Arabidopsis thaliana: one gene and its partners. The protein of the gene in region 3 interacts with the protein of the main gene of each other region in a pairwise test. Each region holds a gene or a part of one and is shown on either strand. Other genes may lie near its edges.

Region 1 (3,754 bases), on a different chromosome or scaffold from region 3:
TCCGGCTTGCTTTCTGGCGTAGTAGTCATAGATGTTACTAGCGATCACACCTGAGAACACAAATGACCCAATAGGCAAAGCTGTAATCTGGAAATTGTAAAGAGAACCGAAGCTCTTCAGGCCAAAAATGTCAGAGACTGAAGCAGGAGCAATCGCCCAATGAGCGCCATAACCCATTCCTATCACAATGGTCACTACGTAGATCTTCCCTGGCCAATCTATGGCATAGTAGATGAGCCCCAAAGACATTATCGCCTGAACCACAGACATTGCCAACGTTCTTGGAAGTGAGAGTTTCCTTTTGAAGAGGCAGAAAGAGATGAATCTGTCAGTAAAAAACACAGATGCTTCTTAAAAGCGAAAGTGAAATGGTTAAGGGTTTTGTACCTTATGATTAGCTCAGAGAAGTAGCCACCAGCAACACGGCCGAGAAAATTGGAGATGCTGATCAGTGAGACAAATATTTTGGTGTTGCTGTACCCGAGGGAATAACAAATCTGACCAAGATTGTCTATAATCGTGATTCCCGAACCTACACCTAGAACCAGAGACATAAATATAAGCCAGAAGTCAGCTTGTCCCAAAGCTTGTAACAAGGTGAAATCTTCTCCTATACACGGCGCTCTTTTCTTTTCCGGCGGTCTGTCACTTCTCTCAATTAAAGTTCTAGCCTCATGCTGATCCACATTGGAAGTTCCTTCTTCAGGCTTCACTGAGGTGACATTATTACCCGAGATGAAAACCGATGAAAAAGGGACAAGAACTGGAACAACCATGAAAATGACAAGGATGGCTCCAGAGGTTGTGATAATCGTTTGAGTCATATCAAAAACACTCTGAAGTACCAACAATCCTAGTAAATATACCGCAAGGACAACACAGAAACCGTAAATAGCCAGGAATCTTAAATCATCAGATCGCAAGTTCGTTCTGCAACTTCTTTCCACGGGTCTAACAATAAATAGTAGAGCAAGAACCACGACTGGTGGTCCAAGAGCAACCATGAGAATAACCGAAGAATCATGAGAAGGGTTGAACATCAAATAAACCTGAGTCAAGATTGCTCCACTCAAGCCAGAAAACCCTTTCAGGATTCCCACCACAGGACCTCGGCTTTCTGGGAAGTTATGAATGCATGACACAAGCGACGCTGTATTGTAGTATGTTTCCCCATTTGTTCCCACGAATATAGCAACAAACAACTACATGAACAAATAAACCAGAATCAAGCAGGATCACACTCATATGTAAGCTTTAACATCTTTTTTTTTTTTTTTTTTTGAATATCTGGAAGTTCAAGCCAAAATTAGAGAATCGTACAAATAATCAAAAGCAAAGCACAATTACTAACGAAATCGCAAATGTGTAAGCAATTTTGATTTGTAAAATTCATCTCACCATCCAGAGAGGCAAATTAGGCAATTGGCCAGTGACGACGAGCCAAACAACACCGTAGCCGAAAAGGTTCTGAGTTGCACCGACGAGTAGAACCACCCAGGAAGGTGAGACTTCAGATAAAGCACCGGAGACGAATCCGATGGCGTCACCGAGGTTTTTAGCTACGCCGAGAAGAGCGATCTGTTTCTGATTGTAGCCAAGGGAAGTCTTGATTGCCGGAGACATAGAGCCGCCGAATAGATAGCCAACGCCGGCGACGGATTGGACCCACATGGCGCAGACGAAAACTAGCCATCGGTCGTTGACTAGGAGCTCTAGTTTGTGACGCCACAAAGTCATCATAGTCAAACGCTCTCAAAACTTTCTATTTCTTTTTTTTTTTCGTTGATTCATATGATTACTTATTTTGTAATTTTCAGTTTCAAAGAAAAGTTTGGACAACACCGTAAATACAAATAAAATGTTTACTTATTTATATACAATTCATGTGTAAGGTTGAGAAACAAATAAGCAACAAGATAAAAAAAAAAAAAAAACACGAATCAATGAAGAGGTATACACTTCACAAGCTTAGGTTTAAAAATTGGTTTGCAAAAGCATTCACTTTTGTATCTCCCCAAAATGAATCTGTTAGTTTGAGTTGCGCTTAAGGTACACCAAAACTCCAAGTCCAGCAGCAAGAGCAGCCCCGGCTGCAACCGTTTTGTAAGCGGCTGCCCATGAGTTTGACTGGTCGTAGTCCATATCCTCTGAACTTAGACCTCTCCTGTGCCCTCTTTCTTCTGTGTAGTCCAAATGCAATTTTAAACCCTGCACCATTTGGAATCCCCAACCCAAATATACTCTTCTTTAGCCCAAAATCCACATTAACCAAAACGAGACCGCGGATTTAAGGTATCATTTCATCCTAGTTCTTTACACTAATTGACAATAAGTATGGATGTACAATTTATTACCTTCCAGCCTATTGATTTTGCATGTTCTACAGCAGCTCCAAGATCATTATCTGATGCTAAAACAACTTTGTCATTGTCTTCATCTTCGTACTACACAACACAAAATATGTCAACAAAAGAAGAAAATTTTTCCTATCTTCTCGTTTAATAAGTTTTCGAATAAATATGTACCATTATCTGAGGCAAGTTATCAGGCTCAATGTCATCCCCCATTCTTTGTAGGATTGCTGTTATCAGAGTTGTCAAACTCTGTGTTTCTGTTATTGAAAAGTAAAAACAAAAGGTTAATGGACTAAGCAGCATTGGCATAATAGGTGTCCTGTTTCTCAAGAGTTATGATTTAACGTACCACACATAAATCTATGCATTCGTCCCTTTTTATCTTGGAGTTTAAAAGCAAATGTGTTGGGATATGAAAATGATTTTGTTACTTCTATCTCCGAAGATAATTTCATCGACTCTTCTTCACTGAAAAATCATATGATCCAGTTTAAGAAACCACCTTATGGTCAAAACTAAATGGTTCAAAGGAATATGAGTAGAAACCTCCTCGTTTCATCGCCATCTTCGTTAGGAGACAAAGCCATAGCAGAGTCCCAAAACTTTTGCATCATTGAGTTTGCTGTCTCATTGTTTATTCCAGCCGTACTTCCAGCCTTGTCAAAAGGAAATAAAGAGTTTATAGCAAAACAAGAATAGTATGCAACAAATATATCATGTTCTTTCTTCTCTCGGATTGTTTATCGATCTTGTCTCATGTTTTCGACTTCAACTAGAAGAGAATAATAGAAGAAAAAAAGTGTACCGTAGTAACAGCAGCATGAGTTATGTGGATCACATCAATAACAGCGACAACATCTCCATCTGTATGTAATCATCAACATTAGACAAGTGTTGAAATAACAATGCTTCATACTTTATAGCTCAAAGTCAGTTTTGAGGACATTTTGTTACCTTTATCCAATACAGGAAGATGCAGAAATTTGCCATTATGCATGATATGTAAGGCTTCAACAATTGCCATATCAACTGTTGCAGATTCTGGATTCGGTGTCATAACCTATAGAATAATGGGATTGAAAAGAAACAACAAAGACGAAAAATGAGTACTCATATAAATCTAAGAGTTGAAAAGAATAATTTCAACCAGATTCAAAACTAACGAGCATAAGCATACATACATATATAGCGAAAACACGAACTTAACGAAAACTTTACCTTCTCCACAGTAGTTGTCTCTTGAGGAAGGTTTTGGGATATCACCCGCATCAAGATGTCCTTTGAGCTAACAAAAATCACAATTTAAGATCAAAGTTCCACTAGAAAAGATTAAAACATGATATTGTAGAGAAAAAATTTCAGAACCATAGAAACGAAAAAGAAGACAAGGGGCCAAATAT
Region 2 (3,754 bases), on a different chromosome or scaffold from region 3:
CACTTTTCATAGGATTCAACTTTGGTCTGTAAACACAAAATTGATAATTTAAAAGCCGTCAAATCTTGTTGTATACACACATTAATCGTAATTATACATTAGGTTATAACACGTACAGATACCAATCACACAGTATAGATAGATAAGACTTAAATATGATTGATCTAGTCGATATATTGAGAAACCCATTTAAATCCTTCGCCGTAACCCATCTTTCTGACAATGCTGCACATGAACACCTCAAGAGGACGAACATTTGTTCCTGCTAGATTCACTTTACCTTTCCCAGTGGTGAAACTGGTGAGGCCTAGATGATAACGCAGCTCGTCTTCTGATGCAGCGTACGGAATGTCGATTTTGTTTCCAAGGATGAGGAAAGGGACATTTGCTAGGGATTCATCAGAGAGAAGAGCGTCAAGCTCTTTCTTTGATTCTGCAAACCTCTCTTTGTCATATGCATCAACTAGGTATACCACTGCATCAACCTAATACGAGACAATAATAAAGTTACAAACTTGAAGATAGAATGCAAAGAGGGTAGCTAATAGAAACACCGGAGTCTATTAATCTCTTGATTCACTGGAATCATCAGCTATGAGAATGTAAATCACAAGGGACCTCATGACTCTAAAACTGACAGTAAGAGTAGTCTATAGCTATACAATCTTCTAATTTTCAACCTCCACTGGCTCCACATACCAATCACAATGTCATTTTAAACTACAGTATATGATGTATATGTATATCTATCATCTGAAGATTTTACTATAGCTCAATCATTTCAAACTATCATCTGCAAACTTATATAACCCAACGGAGCAACACAGTGGCTAAGGAACAGAGTAGGAGTAGTACACAGCAAGAGCTTACTAGGTACACATAACCAGCAGAATGTAATCACAGGACCTCATGCTGCAACATTCAAAAGAGAATTGCTATATGACAAACTTCATTGAAGATTTCACTTCACCTCTATCATCTAACTATTGTTTATATGGGCACAGGGAAGATTGTAATCTATAACAGAGTCAGCTTAGAGTCTACATACAACTATACGAGCGCAATAGTCCTTCCAAAGACTTGCTAAATTGATTGACCTAACAATAAAATCCAAAGAAGAAAGAAGATCAAACCTTAGCGTAATAGTCCTTCCAGACTCTACGAGCAATCTGATGACCTCCCAAATCGAAGGCTTTGAACTTGATTTTGCCGATACTAAGCTCTTCCGATGTCGGATGCTGTGTCGGCTGATGCTGGACCAGTCTCTGAAACCCAAATCAAACGATTATCGCTGATTAAGACTTTGATTCGTTCGCGCTAAGTAAAAGAAACAAGATTCTAGACAGCGATTACTGATATGGCTCGAAGAAAACGAACCTCGTCCTTTAACATGTGAAGCAAGGTGGTTTTGCCGGCGTTGTCGAGACCTAGAAACAGAATCTTCGCTTCTTTCTGCCATAGTCCCAGAGTTGCCAGAACTCCATAGAACCAATCCACCAGGAACATCGCTTCTTCTTCTTCTTCTTCTTCTTCTTCTCTCTCGCGAGATTGAAGATTTTCACGAAGCTTCGAACACGGAAACGGCGACGTTTAAGTATGACTGTGTCGACTGGATGAGTAACAGATATACTTTGGGCCTTGAGGCCTTTATTGAACTTTGAAGCGAACAACAATTAAGTGTTCAAACAACAAAATTGCAAATATTCAAAACTTGGTATATGGTTCATTACATTCTTCTATACGTTAAATTGAAATTTGCGTTTACATTAGTTTTTAATTTGGCATTGTATGTAGAGAATGTAGATTTGAATTTAATTGGTTGATTGATGTCATTGTCAGCTAGTTTTATATAAGCAAAAATATCTGCTAAATTTGTTTAAACCGTTATGTATTTTATTATCGCATACGAAGATTGATTCAAGTGTTACACCAGTTCTTTCGAAACATATACACAATGCAATCATATGAGCTTAATTATCTTGAGCTTGCTTCTTGACGATAACCACAGGACACTTGACTCGTTTGGCGCAATACTCGCTCACACTCCCTAGCAAAGCCCTATCAAATATATCAAATGATTATCAAATAACCATTAAACCAAAATATTTTTGTTTCTTATAAGAGATTGAAACCTTACCTTTTGAAGAAGCCATAGTCATGAGTGCCCATTACTAACATATCAACTCTAAGTTTCTGAACTGCGTTGCATATAACTTCCTTAGCATCTCCTCTTCCAACTCGTCTCTCTATATTAATCTGCACATTAATTTGGTTATATTTACATTTATTTCGCCAACTCTCTTTGAAAACAACCATATTTTGCTTATCATATGTTATATTTTTTGTACTAAATATTGCTCATGATAAACAGATTAACTCATAACTACTTGATTAAATTCACTTTCTCATAATTTCTCAAGTTTTTTAAGCAAGTATAATCCAGCAAATTAAGTGATAAAAAATCGATAGAAATAAGCTTACATCAGACTCATAATCTTGGTACACGGTTCGAGACCGAGCCATGACCGATTCCACGAGCTCGTATTCATACTTCTTCAAAGCTGCAACCGGGTCTCCTGTCACTATAAACCCTGGAAATCGACCAAACAAAAATCTATAACTAAAGTGAACAGATTATAATTAGGGAAAGATATGAATCGTGAAAGAACGAGGACTAACCTGCGGCATCGAGGGAAGAGTAAACGGGAAGAGGGGGCTTGACGTAGAGGAGGATGAGTGTATTATTGGAACCATATGGAAAAAGATTGTCAAGACTCCATGACAGAGCTTCCATGCTCTCTTCGCTTTCGTCTACTGCTACTACTATCTTTCTCTCCTTTGTTTCCTCCATTTCTTTACCTTTCTAAAAAAAAAAACTGTTTTCTTTTGCTTTCAATTATTAGAGAAGAAATATATTATGAAGAAGACCTGATGGAAGAAGAGATTATGATTGTGTTACTATTTATACAATTAGCTAGGCAAAACCCACTTGATTTCTCATTTTGGAATTAAGTGTTTTCATTTAGATATTTGCAGACACTATCCTTTGTGTAATTTTTACATTAGATAAGATATAAACCCACATAGGATTGATTGATAACCAAATACAGAAAACTATCGTTTTTCTTTCAGGGGTGACTCTTATCTACAATATGCGATATTTTTATGTAGATAATTCATGATTTTTTATAGAATTATTTCATGCTTCTGAACTACTATGTTATTATAGATTTTAGGTGAATCAATATTTATGAACTTAATCTGGAATCTGATTTTCCTCATATATCCCTTAGTTTTATATACATCCCGCAGGGTTATTGATGATTGATGTTACACTGATTGACTGATCTTGATTTTCAGTTATGTAATATCCATAAACACGTATACAAAGACAACGTGAACTAAGAGAAATGTAAGATAGAATCAAATAAATCTAAAAATAAATTGGTCCCCTAAGAAAAACTTGAGAAAATATCACGACCCTAAAACGAAGATAAGATGCATACAGATACCTTCCAACTAAAAAATAAAAATTCTTTATGCGTTTGAGCTTTAATGCTCCTGGTGGACCCAATGGTTATATGTGACCAGATCAATGGGCCTTTAATGGGTCAAAATTATTATCACTCAAAGCTTCTAATCAAACAAAGGCCCAAATACGTGAAGAGCTCTCCGCCGTAAATCAGTGGCTTTTCACCGACTTCGCCATTGCTAATCGCCGTCGAGCTTCCATGGCTGCTGCTCCATGGCTCTA
Region 3 (3,754 bases):
AAAAAAATTTGCATAAGGCATACAAATAGTTTGAGATAACTATGAGAAACATCATTTGTTTAAGCCAATCTGTTTTCAGTTGAGACAATTCTCTTCCTTGCCTTCTCAGCCTGCAAAATCATAGATTACTTCATAGCATTAATGAATGAACATAAAAGAATTTACAAGTGTAAAAAGCTGAAATGGCTATTTACCTGTTCCTTCCAATTTATGGAAGCTGTGACAATAGCCAGTATAGTGGCTTGCACAGTAGATCCAACCACAACACCGCACCACAGTCCTTTTCCGTTCAACTCACGACTGAAAGCTAAGTAAATTCCAACAGGAGCTCCTACAAGATAATAAGAAACAGTATTGTTCCAAGCTCCAATGTGTTGCCAACCACTTCCCCTAGCAACTCCATTTAGAACTGCTGTGAAGCCGTCGAGGATAAAGGAGAGGCAGAGCAAAGGAGTTAGGTCAGCTACATAGTCCAAAACTTCTTTGCTGTTGCTGAATGCGTATCCTATGATGTTCCTGCAGGTGAATAGAAGTATGCTAAAGAAAGCTGACTCTACTATCCAGAGACAAAGCCCTGCTAATACTGAAACCCTAGCAACTTGAGGATTCCCAGCTCCCAAATTGTTTGATACACGTGTGCTGCAAGAAACCAATCACTAAATGTTTAGGAAAGAATTGTCTATAATAAGATGAAGATGTTCTGAATGATAAAACTGAGATCATATTCATACCTCACAGCCGCGGCGACTCCAGCTGAAATCACATAGTGCAAAGTTTCTATTGTAAGACTGAAAAGAAGGAAACAGGATTCATTAGTTTTTAGTAAAGAGACCACAAAAGATAAAAAGAAGTCCTTCTATGGTACTTACCAAATTGAAAGAACAGAGGTCTCGAGTTTCGGGTTAGGGAGAAGACCTGAGCAGAGTATGAGTATCTCAAATAGCCACCATTCTAGACTATTAAAGAAGACCGAGAAAATGCAAGCGGGATAAGAAGAAGAGCATTAGGGTATGTAACTTGACGGACAAACAACTTAAAATGACTTACCAAATCATTGCAGCTGATGGGATTCCGTATTGGAAGAACTGCTTGATAGAAGACACAAAATCTCGGGATACAAATCCGCGAGTCTTCTCGCAAGAGCTGGAGAATCTCACATAACATGAGAGTATCACAGCGTAAAACCAGAAAGACACACTTGTAGCCATGGCAGGTCCATTACATCCCAGACCAAACAAGAAAACCAAAGTCCAACAAACCAAAACGTGGAACAAAAGGGTGGTCACGGCAGTGAAGAGCAGAGGAATAACCAACCCTTGTGTTAGCAGAAACCGGGACAGTGGTATGACAATCGCTTGGCCAAATAAAGCCGGTATAAGCCAAAAGGCGTAGGAGCCAGCGATTCTTGAAATTTCAGGGTCTTGTCCGAGAGAAATCAAGATCTTTTCGATGTAAAGCCAGAGAATTGATATGAGGAAACAAATTGGTATGTTGGAAGCAATAGCAGAGTATGCGTAAGTTCCGATTTTTTCATATTGTTTGGCTCCATAAGCTTGGCCACAAAGAGTTTCAAGTGCACCCACTAATCCACACTGCACAAAAATAATTGAAGTGTTTTCAATACTTGAGAGAGTCCATTTGATTCTTGAGTTGAAAAGGTTAGAGTCATAGCATAATTACCATAATGCTAAAACCGGTGACGTTTGTGAAGGAGTTTGCAAGAGCGACACCGGAGAGCTGGAGCTCGCCGTTGTGGCCAGCGACCATGACCGAGATGACAGGCAATAAGTACTGAGCAATGGTCACAGTGGCCATAGGAGCGGCCAAGCGGCTCACTCTCTTTAGCTCGACGGTTAATGGATTTGTATGCCATGTGACTTGAGAAGGGACTAGAAGCTCGTCTCTCAGAAGAAATGGCTCCTCCATTGTTTAACGTTGAAGGCCTTTCCCTTTGATTTTAAGATGATATTTATCCTATCTTTATAGACCGACTAAGTCAATAAACAACAAAGGCAACTTGAACTACAAACGTGGTGACGAAGTAGATATGATGAGTAAAGAAGCAAATTCGTTTTGACTTGTTTGAAAATATAGATACTAGTGGCACACGAATATACTATATTATAAAAATAGATATATAGAATATACATATTAAAAATGACATGTCATTAGTGTTAATACTTTTTAATTATTTACATAAGAACATATGTGAAGACTGAAGACTAATATGAATTATTTTGTTTTGTAGAGTTTGAACATTCAATCTTGTATTAATTACTTTTGTGGATTTTTATATTTTTATATAGTCCTAAAGTTTGACTCTAATTTAAGTAATTTGCTTACCTTAAGTTTTGATTCTTTAGACCACTTTAAAGACATTTGGATCTGATTTTACACAGGTTTTAGTAAATCATTTGTGGTTGAAACTAAAAGTGACAGCCGCTCTCAAGTAGAATCCAAAGTTTCGTCAGAGATTTGTCGTGAAGGTCCGAGTTTCAAAATCTGAATAGTATTGTATTATGAGCCTAAAAGCTCTCTCGGAAAGGGTTCACTAAGATTTATTGGTAGAAGATTGTGGTTATAGTCACAAATACCATAAAATAAATTTATTGGGAATGACATGTGAAAAAATTAAGAAAAGCATGTTTATGGATAAATGATGATTATACACTTACAAGTTACACAACATAGTGAAAAAGATAGGCTGAGAAAAAATCATACATATAAATTATTTTGTAAGAACATTTTTTAACACATTAATATACCATACATAAAAATTTGCTCAACACCTACAAAAATAGTTTGAGATAGCTCTCAGAAACATCCTTAGTTTAAGCCAATCTATTTTCACTAGAGACCATTCTCTTCCTAGCCTTCTCAGCCTGCAAATCATAGATTAAAATTACTTCATAGTATTAAAGAAAGAACAAAAAAGAATGTACAAGTATAACATGCTAAAATGACGAATCTTCTATTCTAAGTGTTTTACCTGTTCCTTCCAATTTATGGAAGCTGTGACAAAAGCCAATATTATGGCTTGCACAGCGGATCCGACCACAACACCACACCAAAGTCCTTTTCCGTTCAACTCACGATTGAAAGCTAAGTATACTCCAACAGGAGCTCCTACAAGATAATAAGCTACCACGTTGTTCAAAGCTCCAATGTGTTGCCAACCACTTCCCCTTGCAACCCCATTCAGAACTGCTGTGAAACCGTCGAGGATAAAGGAGAGGCAGAGCAAAGGAGTTAGGTTAGCCACATAGTCCACAACTTCTTTGCTGTTGCTGAATGCGTAGCCTATAATGTTTCGGCATGTGAAGAGAAGTGTGCTAAAGAAAGCTGACTCTACAAGCCAGAGACAAAGCCCTGCCAATACTGAAACCCTAGCAACTTGAGGAATCCCAGCTCCCAATTTGTTTGACACGCGTGTGCTGCAAGAAACCAAATGACTATTATTGTTTAGGAAGAAGATGTTGAATATGTTTGGTTAAAAATTTGAGTTCATACCTCACAGCCGCCGCGACTCCACCTGGAATCACATAGTGCAAACTTGCTGTTGTAAGACTTGCATTAAAGAAATAAGATTCATTAGTTTTTAGTAAAGAGGATAATAAAAATAAAAAGAAGTCGTTATATGATATATATTTACCAAATTGAAAGAACAGAGGTCTCGAGTTTCGGGTTTGGGAGAAGACCTGAACAGAGTATGAGTAGCTCAAATAGCCACCATTCTAGGCTATTAAAGGAAGAC

Evidence for each region.
Region 1: the proteins of DTX1 (region 3) and AT5G50520 interact in a protein complementation assay, tested with the Arabidopsis thaliana proteins (one large-scale study listed by BioGRID).
Region 2: the proteins of DTX1 (region 3) and AT3G62560 interact in a protein complementation assay, tested with the Arabidopsis thaliana proteins (one large-scale study listed by BioGRID).

The regions. Positions count from the first base shown.
Region 1 is NC_003076.8:20,569,848-20,573,601, forward strand, and holds the start of AT5G50520 (Major facilitator superfamily protein), read right to left. Parts: upstream 1,810-3,754; 5' UTR 1,741-1,809; coding exon 1,399-1,740; intron 1,203-1,398; coding exon 388-1,202; intron 299-387; coding exon 1-298. Other genes in the region: AT5G50530 (CBS / octicosapeptide/Phox/Bemp1 (PB1) domains-containing protein), read right to left, coding at 2,029-2,208, 2,355-2,444, 2,526-2,611, 2,704-2,822, 2,901-3,010, 3,160-3,218, 3,309-3,414, 3,573-3,639.
Region 2 is NC_003074.8:23,135,291-23,139,044, reverse strand, and holds the start of AT3G62560 (Ras-related small GTP-binding family protein), read right to left. Parts: upstream 1,760-3,754; 5' UTR 1,507-1,759; coding exon 1,378-1,506; intron 1,266-1,377; coding exon 1,134-1,265; intron 486-1,133; coding exon 165-485; 3' UTR 1-164. Other genes in the region: AT3G62550 (Adenine nucleotide alpha hydrolases-like superfamily protein), read right to left, coding at 1,971-2,058, 2,138-2,256, 2,482-2,591, 2,680-2,851; AT3G62540 (Pentatricopeptide repeat (PPR) superfamily protein), read left to right, coding at 3,732-3,754.
Region 3 is NC_003071.7:1,334,555-1,338,308, forward strand, and holds the start of DTX1 (MATE efflux family protein), read right to left. Parts: upstream 1,997-3,754; 5' UTR 1,927-1,996; coding exon 1,681-1,926; intron 1,593-1,680; coding exon 1,048-1,592; intron 957-1,047; coding exon 870-956; intron 789-869; coding exon 732-788; intron 640-731; coding exon 195-639; intron 111-194; coding exon 60-110; 3' UTR 1-59. Other genes in the region: AT2G04050 (MATE efflux family protein), read right to left, coding at 2,832-2,882, 2,990-3,434, 3,511-3,567, 3,653-3,739. UniProt on the Arabidopsis thaliana protein: Efflux carrier for plant-derived alkaloids, antibiotics, heavy metal and other toxic compounds. Involved in cadmium detoxification. Requires probably a proton-motive force for the efflux.